2 linked regions of the Caenorhabditis elegans genome follow. The protein of the gene in region 2 purifies or fractionates together with the protein of the main gene of each other region. This does not show direct contact. Each region holds a gene or a part of one and is shown on either strand. Other genes may lie near its edges.

The links. The genes of interacting proteins can lie anywhere in the genome.
Region 1: the proteins of myo-5 (region 2) and C08G9.1 fractionate together in Caenorhabditis elegans (co-fractionation; one large-scale study listed by BioGRID). This does not show direct contact.

What each region holds. Positions count from the first base shown.
Region 1 is NC_003282.8:7,656,182-7,664,813, forward strand, and holds C08G9.1 (Activin_recp domain-containing protein), read left to right. Parts: upstream 1-2,581; 5' UTR 2,582-2,878; coding exon 2,879-2,939; intron 2,940-5,702; exon of another isoform or gene 5,703-5,794; intron 5,795-5,829; coding exon 5,830-5,931; intron 5,932-6,962; exon of another isoform or gene 6,963-7,110; intron 7,111-7,444; coding exon 7,445-7,680; intron 7,681-7,729; coding exon 7,730-7,852; 3' UTR 7,853-7,985; downstream 7,986-8,632. Other genes in the region: C08G9.2 (uncharacterized protein), read right to left, coding at 8,091-8,312, 8,380-8,441, 8,490-8,632.
Region 2 is NC_003283.11:8,107,008-8,112,571, reverse strand, and holds the start of myo-5 (MYOsin heavy chain structural genes), read right to left. Parts: upstream 3,603-5,564; 5' UTR 3,522-3,602; coding exon 3,468-3,521; intron 2,785-3,467; coding exon 2,506-2,784; intron 2,454-2,505; coding exon 2,297-2,453; intron 2,251-2,296; coding exon 2,056-2,250; intron 1,396-2,055; coding exon 1,291-1,395; intron 1,015-1,290; coding exon 673-1,014; intron 624-672; coding exon 437-623; intron 302-436; coding exon 46-301; intron 1-45.

The DNA.
Region 1 (8,632 bases), on a different chromosome or scaffold from region 2:
TAAAAAACAGAAACTCATTTCCGTTGAGACCACCCAGTTTTTTCTTCTAACTACTTCTTTTCCGATATTTATACTACTATTTTATATTTTCTATCCGATTTTCGGAAATTGAAAAAAAAACCTTTACCTTGTACGTACATAAATCAAGTTTAGTTTGTCATGTGATTCATTTCAACGTATCCTTGTGTTACCTGAAACAAAATCTTTCCCACATCCCACCAGTTCTTTTTCTATTTACTTTTCCATTTTAAGAGCACAGAGCAGACAAGTATCTCGACTGAAGAGCTACTGACATTCGAGAGTTTTTGTATCCGAGGGAGCAAAGAAATAACTAAATTCGATTTTGAAGTGAGAAGAGGGTCTCCTACTCCTCTGCCGAAAAAAGAAGCAGTTACACACTAAATTGTTGATTTTCGAGATTCCTTTCTTTTTCCACTTCAAAAAAAATGACTACTTGTGTACTTTATTGGAAGTTTCTTCTAAAAAAATCATGGTCACAGTTATGCAATTTCTAAAGCTTATCCTCTTTAAAATTTGTAACTCTTCTTCTAGGGTCCGAATCGGGACTGTCTTTGAAAACTAGAAAAAAATTTAATAAGTTAGAAACCAGATAAACTACCTGGCCAAGTTAGGAAAAAAATGCTGCTCGGTTTTTTTCTGTTTTCGAAAAACATACCGTTCGGTAGCACATCTTAAAACAAGAAGTTTCGAAAAATTTGAATCGCTAAGATTTTTAAAAGGTTGGTATCTATTTGTTGCCAGAGTGTTTTAAAATTATGCCACTAAACTTTTTTGTTAACATGCTAAGAAAGTTTGAAAAAAAATCACGAAAAAATCAAGTAGGAACCATTGACATTGCAGTGTTCAAACTTCAAAATTGCCCAAGGGTAAGGTTTTTTTGCAATTGTTTCAGTTGTGCCTCTGGAAACTTTACGGAAGATTATTTTACTGAAGACGACGTGGCTCAATTAGTAATCGTGACCCGTCTTCACTTTCCATTTCACATTTGACATTTTATGGAGTAAGAGCCATTGTCTCTTAGCCACTGACTCCCCATTTGTCTCTAAATGTACTCTTGTGCTCCTTTTTCCCACTCAACTAGTCAGTCAGTCCATTCATTCCTTTCATCCACCCTTGCCATCTCGATCAGAAACGTTTTTTTGTTCAACCGAGCACCGCCCGTTAGAAGAATTGGCTTTGTTGTTAGCCACTTTTTGTATGTGAGAGTGTGTGAGACTGCCCTCAGGGAAAAGGTGCATGATGACGGACCCGTTTTTCCAACATTTTCCAAGGAATGTCGTGATTTTTTCATGAGTTTTCCTACATTTAGAAGATATACTCAAGAAATATATTCATGTCAAAATTTGAATTGAATTCTGTGTTATTATTCGATGCATTGAAACTACTAAGTTCCATTTTGCAATAGAAATCTGAAAACAGTTCGAGAAGACCAGGATGAACAAAAATTATCCAAAGATGACAGTAGATCTCAAAGTTGTGATAAACCTAGCTTTTTCGAAAAAAGCGTCCAAAATCTTTGGAAACCACATCCACAACTATTACTGTTTCACTGTTTCAATACATATCTCATTGATTACTATATATACATAGTTGATGTACAGCTATTCGGAGCATTACAAGAAAGATTAAAGTAAGATTAATTATGATGAATTTGATCTCCGCCGTGAATTTGTTTCGTAGTTTATAACCAAAATATTTTCTCATTTAAACAGTTTTCAGCGTTTCTTAAAACTTACTGTAAAGAAGGTGCACCGAAATCTGGGAAATATTTTTAAATGGCTCCAAATTTGCCCCTGATTCCGAATATCGATGTTAAAAATTTCAAAAAAATTGCCCTGATTTCATATTTCACATCGATATTCGGAATCAGAAAATTTGGAGTAATTTAAAAATATTCCCAGATTTCGGTACTCCACCTTTAAGATGTTCTAAATATGGAACTGGATGAATCTATCTGCATCAAATTTTGAGTGAGTATCATTTATAGATACATTCACCTACTTTTGATCAGAAAGCAATACAATTCTACTGTCTCACATGCCTTGTGATTTTCTATTTTGAGAACTCAGGTTACTACTTTCTATAAGTACACTCAAATTCAAAAAAAAAGACGAAAAACAGTAATCCTGTTTATATTTGAACCATATCTTCAAGTTTCAATGTTTTCGGGGTCCTGACATCGATTCATTCAACATACATATGAAAGTGTAAAGATTTGTATCATGCTTTTGATAGCCATGATTAATTAATTAATTTCAGATTACTTTCTCATATATACATTTAATACCCGAATAGCTTTCTACAAATCACACGGTTTCTTTTTTCTGTGACCAATTTAAATATTCAAGACCAGTTTTTGAATTCTTTTGTTTCGTATTTTCATTAATATTTCTCGTGTTCTTCAAGCAATTTGATCTGCCCAAAGTCCAAAATCAGACAGAAAAATATGAAAAGTAGCTCCACCTCTGCATTCTCTTCATCCTCCTCCTTCTCCTCCTAAGCCACGCCCATTCTCCTCCAGCTTCTTCCTCGTTTTTCGCTTCTTCGTCACATAGACAGAGACGGAGAAAGAAATATTGTGCTTTTTCTACTGCTGGTGGTAGTGGCTGCATGTTGTCACTGACGCCTTGATACCCTCCTCTTTTTCTATTTTTTCGTGTGTCTGCGAGGACCATCCTATAATTATTGTAGTCCCCACGACAACGAATCTCGACGATAACACTCCCTATCTCTCGATGTGGTGGATGTGAACGAGGCATCATCCAATGCACCTGATTTCGTTCATTTTTCTACCACACTTCTCTCACATCTTATCTGAAACCAACTTGGCTTCTGATTCTTCACATCGTCAAAAGTTATGCGATTAATATGGACTTGTTGGTTGTGGGTGGCTCTCGTCATCTCATTTACTTTTGCAGGTATGTCTTTACTTTTTTAAGAAGTGAAAAGATCAACATATAAATATTCAAATGTTTAGAGGGAGGTTTTGAGGGGGATTAATAAAGATTGGTGGTCTCTAGTGATGAGTCAAAGTTTGTTAATGCTAATCTTTGACAACGATTTTTGTTTTTTTTTAATGCTTTCCCTCGCAATATCTATAGATATTGTTTATTATTATCCAGTATCAGAGGATATTCAAAGAAAAAAAAATAAAAAGAAAAACAGAGATGTCTAGGTAAGAATACATCCACAATTGAGCTAATTATATTCTTTTTCCAAGCATATTTTCCGTTTGCATTCTACATTTCTCGTTGTCATGAGATATTTTGTAAAAAGAAAAACTGCTTCTGATGATGACGACAATTGAAAAATTCACAAAAAAAGCCCGTTAGATTCCAGATGTCCGAGAGCCCGAATCGCCTATTTTCTTTCACAACGAGAAATTAATGACGATTCGTTTCGTTTTATTTCTCGCCGCCGCCGCCACCAACTGTTTTTCATCTTTTTGTCGAACTCTCGGCTCTTCCTCGAGACATCTGATTTATATGTTGTTTATCATCATCATCATCATGATCAACTTCTATTAGTTTCCGGGATTGAGGAGGAAAAAAACACGCGTTTATCTGGTGCTCGTTTGAAAAGATGAGATGAGCTGCCGCAGAAAGCCAAACGACTAACCGCAAAACCACTTGTCAAATCACGTTAAGTGATTCATCATAGTCAACTTTTTGAAAAAAAATTGAACTTGAAAGTATTTTGGGTTCAAAGTACACTTACAATAATTATTCAAAAAAACGGGGGTTTCGAGCAATTCAAATCAACAAAACAGTCTACTTTTACATTCAAAAATTAATGTAAAAGTATGGAAAAATATTTGAATTGAAAATAAAATTATTTATAAAGTTAAAATAATTTTCAAAAACCTGAAAATGTTCTACCGGTATCAGTCTGCCAAAAAATATTTGTATCAGTTCAAAATGGAATCATCTTGCAATGGAAAGCAAAAATAAATATATTATCCAATCAATCAACCACTTTTCTATGCCCATACATCTTATTTTTAATTTTAAATACATGATTTCGTAGTGTTGTAGATTTTCCGAGTTTAAGAGCATCCGGTTTTTATGTACATGTTCCCAAAAACAACATGATACACATCGTAAAATCGTAAATTTCATACTATAACTTTGAGATTCATAGAGCTAGACGCTACTATTTTATCACCAAATTTCTGAATTTATGTGTAAAACATAAAATCTTTGTTTTGATTCTTGGCATTTTCTTTTCCAATTTGGTTTCCAAAAATTTCGAAAGAATTGAAAGCAAAGGGTTATTTGTATTTTGCCTTCAGCTTCTTTATCCATCGTGAGAACATCAGGAAAATTGCGTTGCGTGTCTTTGTGCACTTTTCTATCGTCTTGGCTGTCGGTCAAATTACACATACACCCACCCAATTTCTTTCCTTCATCAAAACTATTCCACTTTGCACTTCAGATCCATCCGGGGTCCGGAATCCTCTCGCACCTTAGATCCCTTCCTTTTTCATACTTCTAAAAGCTTCCCGTGCACTTTTCTAGAGATAGTTTTGTCTACTATTATCCAAGCGAATAAAAGTTGAGCGTTTCCGGTGCACTTTTAAAAAGTCAAAAGTCGTTTGCTATTGCAAAATGGAATTTAATTCTCCAAACTTTTTTCCACTAAAAGGACCTACCAATATGGTCCCTCTACTTCCATAGATAAATTGATTATGCGCGTAATTCATAAATTATGAGCAAGATGAGCGGACTTCGTGCTTTCATTTCATCTGGATGTGCACTTTCCTCAACTATGCATTAACAGGGTCCAGTTGAAGAGAGAAACAGAGAAACTCATTCAGTTTTTAAGTGACCCAATAATGACTAAGACATTGGACCAGCCGGAAGTCAAGACCACAGGCGACCCAATTGTTTGTTTATACAAGTCGAATGGCATGCGGAAAAAGGTTTTTCGAAATGTCTCAAAAGCAGCACAACGAGTAGTGGACTCCATTAAGAATTTGGGGTTATTTCTTTTTTAATGAGCGTTTGTTTAGGACCTTGTGAACAATATTTGTGGTAAACAAAACAGTGATAATTGTTTAGAAATCAATGATAATTGTTTAGAAACAATATACTTTGCTCCTACAGTTCTTAACCTTATCACTATGGTATGGAATGTTAATTTCAGGGTTCTATGGTAAATTTTGCAAACCTAATTTTCTTCTGAAGCACCTATACTTGTAGACATCATAATAAATAAAATACTGTTATGAAAAATGTTTTTCTTTTGAAAAACGCATATTTTAGTTTTAAAAAAACTAGATTTAAAACTTGTCACATTGAATTGGAAACTTTCAGATTTTCTATAAAACATGCATGCACCTTTTTGGTACCAAAAAATAGCTCACAGGAAGTATTTTTGCTCTTCCGGCATCACCCTAACTCTATTCCACTTTTCTTGTCTAGAGTACATATGTTTCGTCATGGAGATCATCTAGATTTTGTTATTTGAAACAATAAGGATTTTTTCTCTCACACATCGTTAGAATCCATTTTTCTTGTTAGGGAAGGACCTTCTTCATTCAAAATTTGATCAACGAAAGGACGATAGCTTGTGAGAAGTGTGCGGGGATAAAGAAAAAAGAAAAAGAATGGATCCCCCTGGGTACATTATATCTTAAACGCCTCTTTTCTCTCTTATACAAAATGAAACCACTCTTTGTCAAAAGTGTATTGTGAAGGTTAGATTTTGAAAAATGGTGATGGGATTGGGAATATCACGCTGAATAATAGATATGATCAAAATTTTTCTATATTTTTGGTGAAAGAAATTTTAATATTTAATTTCCAGGAGGACATCAAGTAAAATGCTTCTGCGATCGAGACTCTTGTGACGATAACTTGTTGTGTCAAGGAGATTTTTGTTTTATCGGGTTGCATCGAAGTGACGACAGTGAGTTTTTTTGATGGCGGGCATCTAGGCAACATTGAAAAGTTTATGGAAACGTTATATGTATGTATACTGAAGAAAAACAAATAAATAGCAAGAAAATGTGGAACATTTTTGAAATTCACAAAGTTCACTTAAACCCGATAAGAATATTTAAAAGTAAAGCTTGGAGGGTAATTCGCCGTTTGTAAATGCCTGTGACCACGAATATTATAGAGGCATTTTGCAAATAGCGAATTTCACCGCCGGACCACTAACATTTTAACAGTACTTTGCAAATCCCGACTCTCGGTGGTCGCAATTTGCTGAATATTTGCGATTTTACAAGTATCTTATTATATCGCTTTTGTATAACCACATTCGCAACCTACATTTCATAAGTATTTTAAAAACCGCGAAAAACTTGTGTAGAGATTTGAGTTCAGTCTATTTATCTTTGCCGAAAGTCTATAAAAGTGCTCATTTCGGTATCATAGTCAAAAGCAAACTCACAAATGACTTCATAAAACAAAAATATTTGAATGATTTCAAAAAAAAAAGATTTTAGTATATTTTATTTTTGTTTAGAATATTTTTAATTTTCTGAGTTTTTTTTTGGCAATTTTCTAATTCAAGAAAGTACTCAAAGTTGCTTACGTCTGCTAATAAATTCTGACTTTAACATTTTTTATTTACACATTTTGAGAAAACAGAGTTGTATATTTTCCGTAAAGATTTGATTGAAATTGAAAAATTTGAAATCTGAATCATGAGAACCGTTTTAATACTAATACAATTTAAAAAATAATTAAAAAATCGAAGCGCGAAAAAAATCGGGCAAGCGAAGGTTCATGAAGCTTATTCAAAATTTATGATCTGCATTTTGAGTCGAGAACAACATCAACGACGAGGAGGCGAAACGAATTATCAGCGAGTTCAATCAGAGCTCTTCTTCACCATTCATCTTGCTCTTTTGAGCCCACCGCAACAGCCACCGGGTTCTTCAATTCGTCGGCTCGTTTTTGGAGCTCTCTGTCTCTTGAAAAAACATGACGCATTGATGTGGCAGAGTGTGGGTGCAGTTGGCACACCAATTCCCGCGGGACTCTCCACTAAAAAGAAGAACCAAAACAAACTTCTCTTCAAATCTTCCCTATCTCTACTACAGAGCTCCTCTCCTGTGAGGCTCTGCACAAATTGTGTCATTCACACACACATACACACATACAAAGTAGTAGAGAATTCAAATTTGTGGAATGGAGAAGAGTGCGTGTGATTTTAAGAGACATTATGTCTACGTATCTCTATTAAATGTAATGTTTCGAGGGCTTTTCGTTTGGGGATGAGCGCCCTTCAGGCGTGTTTTGGGTGCAATTGGGCGCGAAAAAGAAGTTCCTGGACCAGAGTAATTTTGTTGAGAGTTAGGTGTTTTAAAAGAATAAATAATATAACATTGATCTGAAGTGAGCAGATAGATTATAAAACCAATTTTCTTAGTACAGGTACTTGAAAAAGTTGAACCAACTTATATATTCAGGAGATGTCCCACGACTTCGACAACACTGCGGGACTATTGACGAACTACCGTTTTTGAATGCTCATGTGAATTGTGACGAGAGACAGGACAACTGGCAAGAAGTATGCAGATGCTCGGAAGATTTTTGCAACACCTTCGCATTTCTGAGATCATCGATTGATGTTCGACCTGATCCAAAGGATTCCGTACAGTTTGTGAAACAAGATGCACAGTATCCGATTGAACATCGTCCACAAGTCAGTTTCAATTCTATTAACTTCACACAATAAAACTCTACATTTGCAGCCAGAAACGACGTATCGCCAGAATAATTCCTCACTTATTGTCCTTCTGGTTATCATTCCATTATCAGTCGGAGGATTTGCTGTGTGTCTAATTTTCCTGAATTACCATTGCAAAATGTGTTGACTGATTCATGGATTCTCCTACTTTCTGTTAGCATTTCAGTGAGTTTCAGGGACCGTGTGTGTGGTCCACCAATTTTCTCGTAACCTGTGATAATTATGATATTTCATTGTCCAATAAATGTATTTCACCTGGTAACAAAGTTAATTATAATAATATTTATATGCTAGCTGAAAACAATATGGCAAGGATGTGAAAGTATCATAGTATAAGTATTGAATTAATTATAAAACACGTATTGTTAACCGATTGAGAGCCAACTTTGTGAACGAGGATGTCCTCTATCACGGTTGAGCATTGAAACGTCGTGCATTGGAGGACGATTAAAATCAGAACATTCTGATATTTCATCTCGTGAAAATACCCGACGAAGTCCAGTTTGACGACTTCGAGGTTCAGTTATTGTTGTAGTGTTGGTCGGAGTGTGAGCTCTATCTTTTGGATGATTTCTGTAGTAGCAGAACTGAAATCAAATGATCATGAAAATACACTTCGAAAAACAAAAATATTGACTTGTTTTCTAAACTTACACAAGAAAAACCAATTAGACAGATAACACACAGAAGGAAGATTGAAGCTGCGAGTAATATTGCTGCAAGAATCACAGTTATTCTGGTTACATCACGTCGTAGTTTCTTACCATAAAGGATAACCTGGGCCGTATTTTTCCTTCCGTGCTCGTTTGAAACATGTGAAGCTGTCAACGTATGAGGCTCTGCTGTCAGTTTTTGCCCAGAGAGGGTCATTGTCCATTCACCAGTTGACACTTTTTCAGATACTTCT
Region 2 (5,564 bases):
TTCAAAATATTTCAAAACGCCATCATTTAGTAAACTCTATTTTACCTTTTCGATGAGCTCAATACAAGCCTGCAAATCAAGTCCGAAATCAATGAACTCCCATTGAATTCCTTCTCGTTTGTATTCTTCCTGTTCCAACACGAACATGTGATGATTGAAGAATTGTTGCAGTTTCTCGTTCACAAAGTTGATCCAGAGCTGCTCAAAAGAGTTCAAATCGAAAATTTCAAAACCAGCGATATCGAGAACTCCGATGAAGAAGTCACGAGACAAGTCTTGAGCGTCAAGAGTCTTGTTACATCTGAAAATAATCTTCAATTAAACGTAAGTGACTGTTTTTTTGGTTTTTTTAAGCTTTTGTAATGTACCATTTTAATCCCCGCTTGCTACGCAAAAACAGTTCAAAATAAAATAGCGCCAATAATGTTGTTCTTACCTTCTAATAAGCCAAGAGAACATACGGGCAAAGAGAGCCTTAGCAAGAGCGCCAACAGCCCAGTTAACCTGATCCAGGTTCTGTCCCTTATTGACCCATTCGGTTCCAACCTTGACACGTGGCTTCAATAGAGCATTGATGAACTTTTCAGATTCAACGCAATAAAGCTTGCAAGCCAACTCTCCTTCTGAATTCAAATTTTGAAACATTTGTTTTTTTGAAGATCCACAACTTACCCTTTCCTTCTTCCAACTCTGCTTGCTCTTCTCTTGGTCTTTGCTTAAACTTGAGCTCTCCCATATGCATGATACCGGCAGTGATTGCAAAAAGTTCAGACTTTTCGGTAGCAGTGAACTTCATGATATCGAATGCTTCATCAGTAATAAGCATTTCCTCCTTGTCATCAACTCCGTCAATAGTAACTTCGGCTTGCGACACGAAAGTGTACTCCTTGATTGGACGAGTAAGGAAAAGCTTCTCTCTGAGTCCCTTAACGGCATCAGAATAAATTTGGTAAAAAATGTGGTACGATCTCTCTCCGGGAGCTTGTTTGATGACACGAGATTTTTCCAAAAGATCTGAATAGAAAGTGTTGATCACGCAAGTTGAGAATTAAATTTTCTGGTTCGGCGATTGCCTGTTTGTAAAAACCCTTCAATAACGCTACGAAATATGATTTTTTGACGATCTCAACAACTTTAAATGAACTTAATTTTTAAATTCGAAAAGCAGCCCTTCGCTTGAACTTTTGAGTGGCTGAAATTGCAATCCACAGTAACCCTACCTTACTCTTACAGTAATTACCGATCAGTGATGCTGTTAGTCGCTCTGATATCAAACTGCAAACCACTTACAATGTTCAATATCAGCTCCGGCCACTTTACCGCCGGTGTTGAAATGGATTCGGATGAATTTTCCGAATCTTGACGAGTTGTTGTTACGAACAGTTTTGGCGTTACCTGAAATTTCACTTTTCAAAAAAATGTCCTTCAATTTCCAAATGTCCCCCTGTCTTTATTGGCATTTCAAGAGGATGCATGTGGGGCTCTCTATCTCTCACTTTTTCCTCGAAATGTTTCATCTACAAACAAAGTCAAAAATGAAGTGAAAATAGAGAAAGTAAGGCAGATAGAAGAGACACTCGAGAATCGACATCTCGTACACAACGCGTTGTCATCTCCTTGTAAATACAAGCAAATAACACATTGTGAGGTAGGATTTTTTGGGTGACAAGAGGGATAGAAAGAGTACACGGGATATGGTGATAAGTGACCAAAGGCAAAGAGTTGACACGTCGTAAGGCTACTTGCACGCAAAAGGCTTAAACATCACAATTTGTCTGTAGTATATAGGTTTTGTGATTACTAGGTCAGCGGGTTCTATGAGTTACGGTATTTTTGGTTGTACTTGTTTATTTTTTCTTTAAAGAACATCATTGTAACCTTTATTAACTTATGATACACTACGTTCTCACCTCACAATTTTTAATATATAAAAGTTTTTTTTTCCATGGGAAAATCTGGTAATTGTATAATCAAGAGCCCTAATTTTTCACAAGTGTTTGTCAAACATTTGATAAGATTTTTGATCTCCCACTTTACACTACCCTAACCACCAACCAAAAGCTTCCAGCACCGGATTGGTTTGCACAATTTGATCCTCGAGCGAGACTTGCGCTTTGTCCTTTTTGCTCTTTTTCTTGTTCGACTGTTGCGATGCTCCGACCATTGCAAAGTACGAGATGACCTTCTTCGTGTTTTCAGTCTTTCCAGCCCCAGACTCTCCGGTAATCAACATGGATTGATTTTCACGATCTGATAATGTACATTATCAAAAATAGTTAAAATTGAAATTCCATACCGTTGGTCATATTTCTATAAGCTTCATCAGAGACGGCGAACAAATGAGGTGGCATTTCATTTCTCCTTTTTCCCAGATACATTTGACACACCGATTCCGAATAAATCGGGAGACGTTTGTATGGGTTGATGACGACACAGAAAAGTCCGGAATAGGTCTGAAATAGTTTTAAAGTTTTCATGACTTCCTCAGAACATTCAAAAACATACATAAATCATCATCGAATAGTAACGTTGACGAAGGTTATGAAGAACGGAAGCATCGTTGAGGAATGTCAAGTTAGCCATATCCTCAGTTTTCTCGTACTTTGGAGGGTTCATCTGTTGAGCATCGTCCTTCTTGATCGTCTTCTCAACTCCTTTCGATGTTACCACCACCACTGTATCTCCCTTCGAAGACTTGATTTCAGCGGCGATGAATCCTTCCTCTGGGTCGGCAACCCACACATTTTTCTTCGAATCGAACTTCTTCGTCGTGGCCGCCAATAGCTGAAATATAACGAATGAATTGGGGGAATTTTTATGTTCATTTGTGATGTCTCTACAGGATAGTTTGACTGATAATAATCTATAATAATTCTGTCTTCCCATGGTAAAAACTTGAATTATGTATTCGATGGGTTTTATTGATTTTTTAAGATAAAATCACGTAACGCTTGAATTAAAATCAAGTGATGATTATTAGGATATTAAATGTTATATATAGTTATAAAGTATTCGAAATGAGTACTCAGAATTAGGGTTTAAATATTTTCGACACCTAAGTTTGACCTAAATACAGATATTACTTTTACAAAAATAATTATCTCCTTAATGTTTCAAATGAATATGTTGTGACACATCCAATCGTATATTTGAAGAAATGCATTCATTGTCAAAAAGCCATACGTCTTTGCTCTTTTAGATACATATAAACTAAATTATCTCTTTCATTATACAGTTCCATCGATCAATGTTGATCTGTGTTTTGATCTTTTAATAAAACTGCAAGACATCAAAAATGAACTCATTGCAAAATCTTCCCCAATAAAAAATCTTAGATACAACATCGATTCCCTCGCGGATCAAAAAATACTCGAGATATTCTTGTTGACTCTAGTACATCATTGCGTGAGAGTAAGAAAAAGTAAAATGCAAACAAATCGAAAGAGTGTGAGAGAAGATAGATCTACCTGTTCTGGCGACTGGCGAAGAAACTGCCAGCCGGGATCCGCTTCGTGTGTCATTTTGATCTACTTCTTTTTTCCTTTCTTACTGTACAACAACTTCTAATCGATTCTCTATGTGAGGAACACCGGCCGCGATGTCTGAAATAACACCAAGTTCATAATTGGGTGGCACTGATTAAAAAAATATAGAAGCTGAAAAGGTATTTCGAAACATCGCAAGATCAAGAGGTTTGCAACAAAAAAACAAGTAAATATAATGATAGTATCACAATGCAAACAAAGATAAGCGTTGGCGAAACAAAAAAATATTGGAAAAATGAACAACGAGGTTCATTAAAAATCATCAAGTATTGTAGATCTTAATGAAAAAGTAGTGGACTGATTCCGAGAGTTCTGAAAAATTGTGACTGGGTATGTGATGTTAAACTCTATTCGACAAAACAATAAAACTTTCACAAAAAATTCAAATAACAAAAAACTAAACATATAATTGAATCATTGAAAAGTGGTGAAAAAGTATTTCCCCAAACAGCCTAATTACTGCAATTAGACAACTTATAATATCGGTTTATTATATAAACATCTAAAGGAAAATTATAGAAAAAAGAAGACGCTTTTAATATTTCGCTTGATGAAATATTTTTGATTAAAAAAAAATTAAAATCGAGACTAAATCTCCTAAAGCTGATCCAAAGAGTGCAATACGGATAGAAGAAGTAATAAAAAGAAACATAAAATCTACATAACCGATGAAGAATGTGAACAATGAAACAAAAAAATCTGAGACAGACAAATTTCGGATGTTTTTCGGCATTTCGCGCATGAGCTCTTGAAAATTCAACTCTCAAAATCTTGGCGGCAACTTCAGAAAACAAGAAAATGTGGAAATAATTGGAGGATTAGTAAGAGGGTATGAAGAGAAAGGAGGGCACCCGTAACTGTCTTTTCTTCTCAAGAATGCACATGCGATAAGTGGGAGGATTTTGCATCTGCGGCAGCCGCCCGCGCCGCCAACCCGACAGGAGCACGAGCTTCCCGTGAGCCATCCAAGCAGAGACTTACTGTTTGTTGTATATCTACGGAGGGGAAAGGCAGATTCACATCTTTCTTTATTTCTCTTTCATTTCGGTTCCCTCCTCCGCAAAGTCTCCAACGGCACACTTATCCTCCACCTCCTTACGTTGCGTTGTTGCTCGAAATTGTTTGCCTCGTCGTCAAAATTACACGATCCTTACAGCATTCCCTACTGACTGTCTGTGAGGGGGAGAAATGAGAAAGAAAAGTCGGCAGAAACATTTGAAAGTAATGTCCAATGAGCAAGATTTTACTTAACAATCACAAATCAGTGTCATCTTTGTTTGATCACACATTTCTTTTCCCGGAACATCCTGATCATCGGGTCAATTCTTTTTTGTCTTGAGCTTGATTCTTCTCGCGTTAAAATACAGTTAATTATGTCTTTTTTTACTCTCCAATATTTCAAAACCAAATGAAAAAGTGAAGCCCATTTCTCTAATGAACAAAAATAATTAAATGTTTTGGTGCATACTGTTTTGGTGCACAGTTAAACTGTTAGAAACATAATTATTTATAACGCTCAGAATAATTCAAACACTTGAGTAGCTCCAAATCAAACTTCCAAGCTAGCGAACATTGCCACAATTATCGGTTTTCCTATATCGCACAATGTGAAATTCCTGAAATCACCAAACTGATAAAATTTTCCGGACCGCAACTACCTCGCTTCGCACTTCTGACAATTTCTACTAATTTTCAAATACATACTAGAACCCTATAAATGTAGTTTTATCAACCATTCATGCAAAAACTTCTAGTTGAGAGATCAAATCACATAGACTTTCTGTGAGTTGAATGAATTCAGACAGAACTTGATGGTTCGTCGATTTGTAGAAACCAAAAAACGTATTTACGTGTAGTATGATGAAATAAATATGTAGAAAGGAAGTACACATTCTCTACAACATTGGTTTTTTGGACTTCATTTTTTGTGATTACTGTTGATAGTGTCTTACTTTCCGTTTCAATAAGAAAATTCTTTCCCCAGAGCAGTTCACAAACATATCAGCAATTAAACGTATT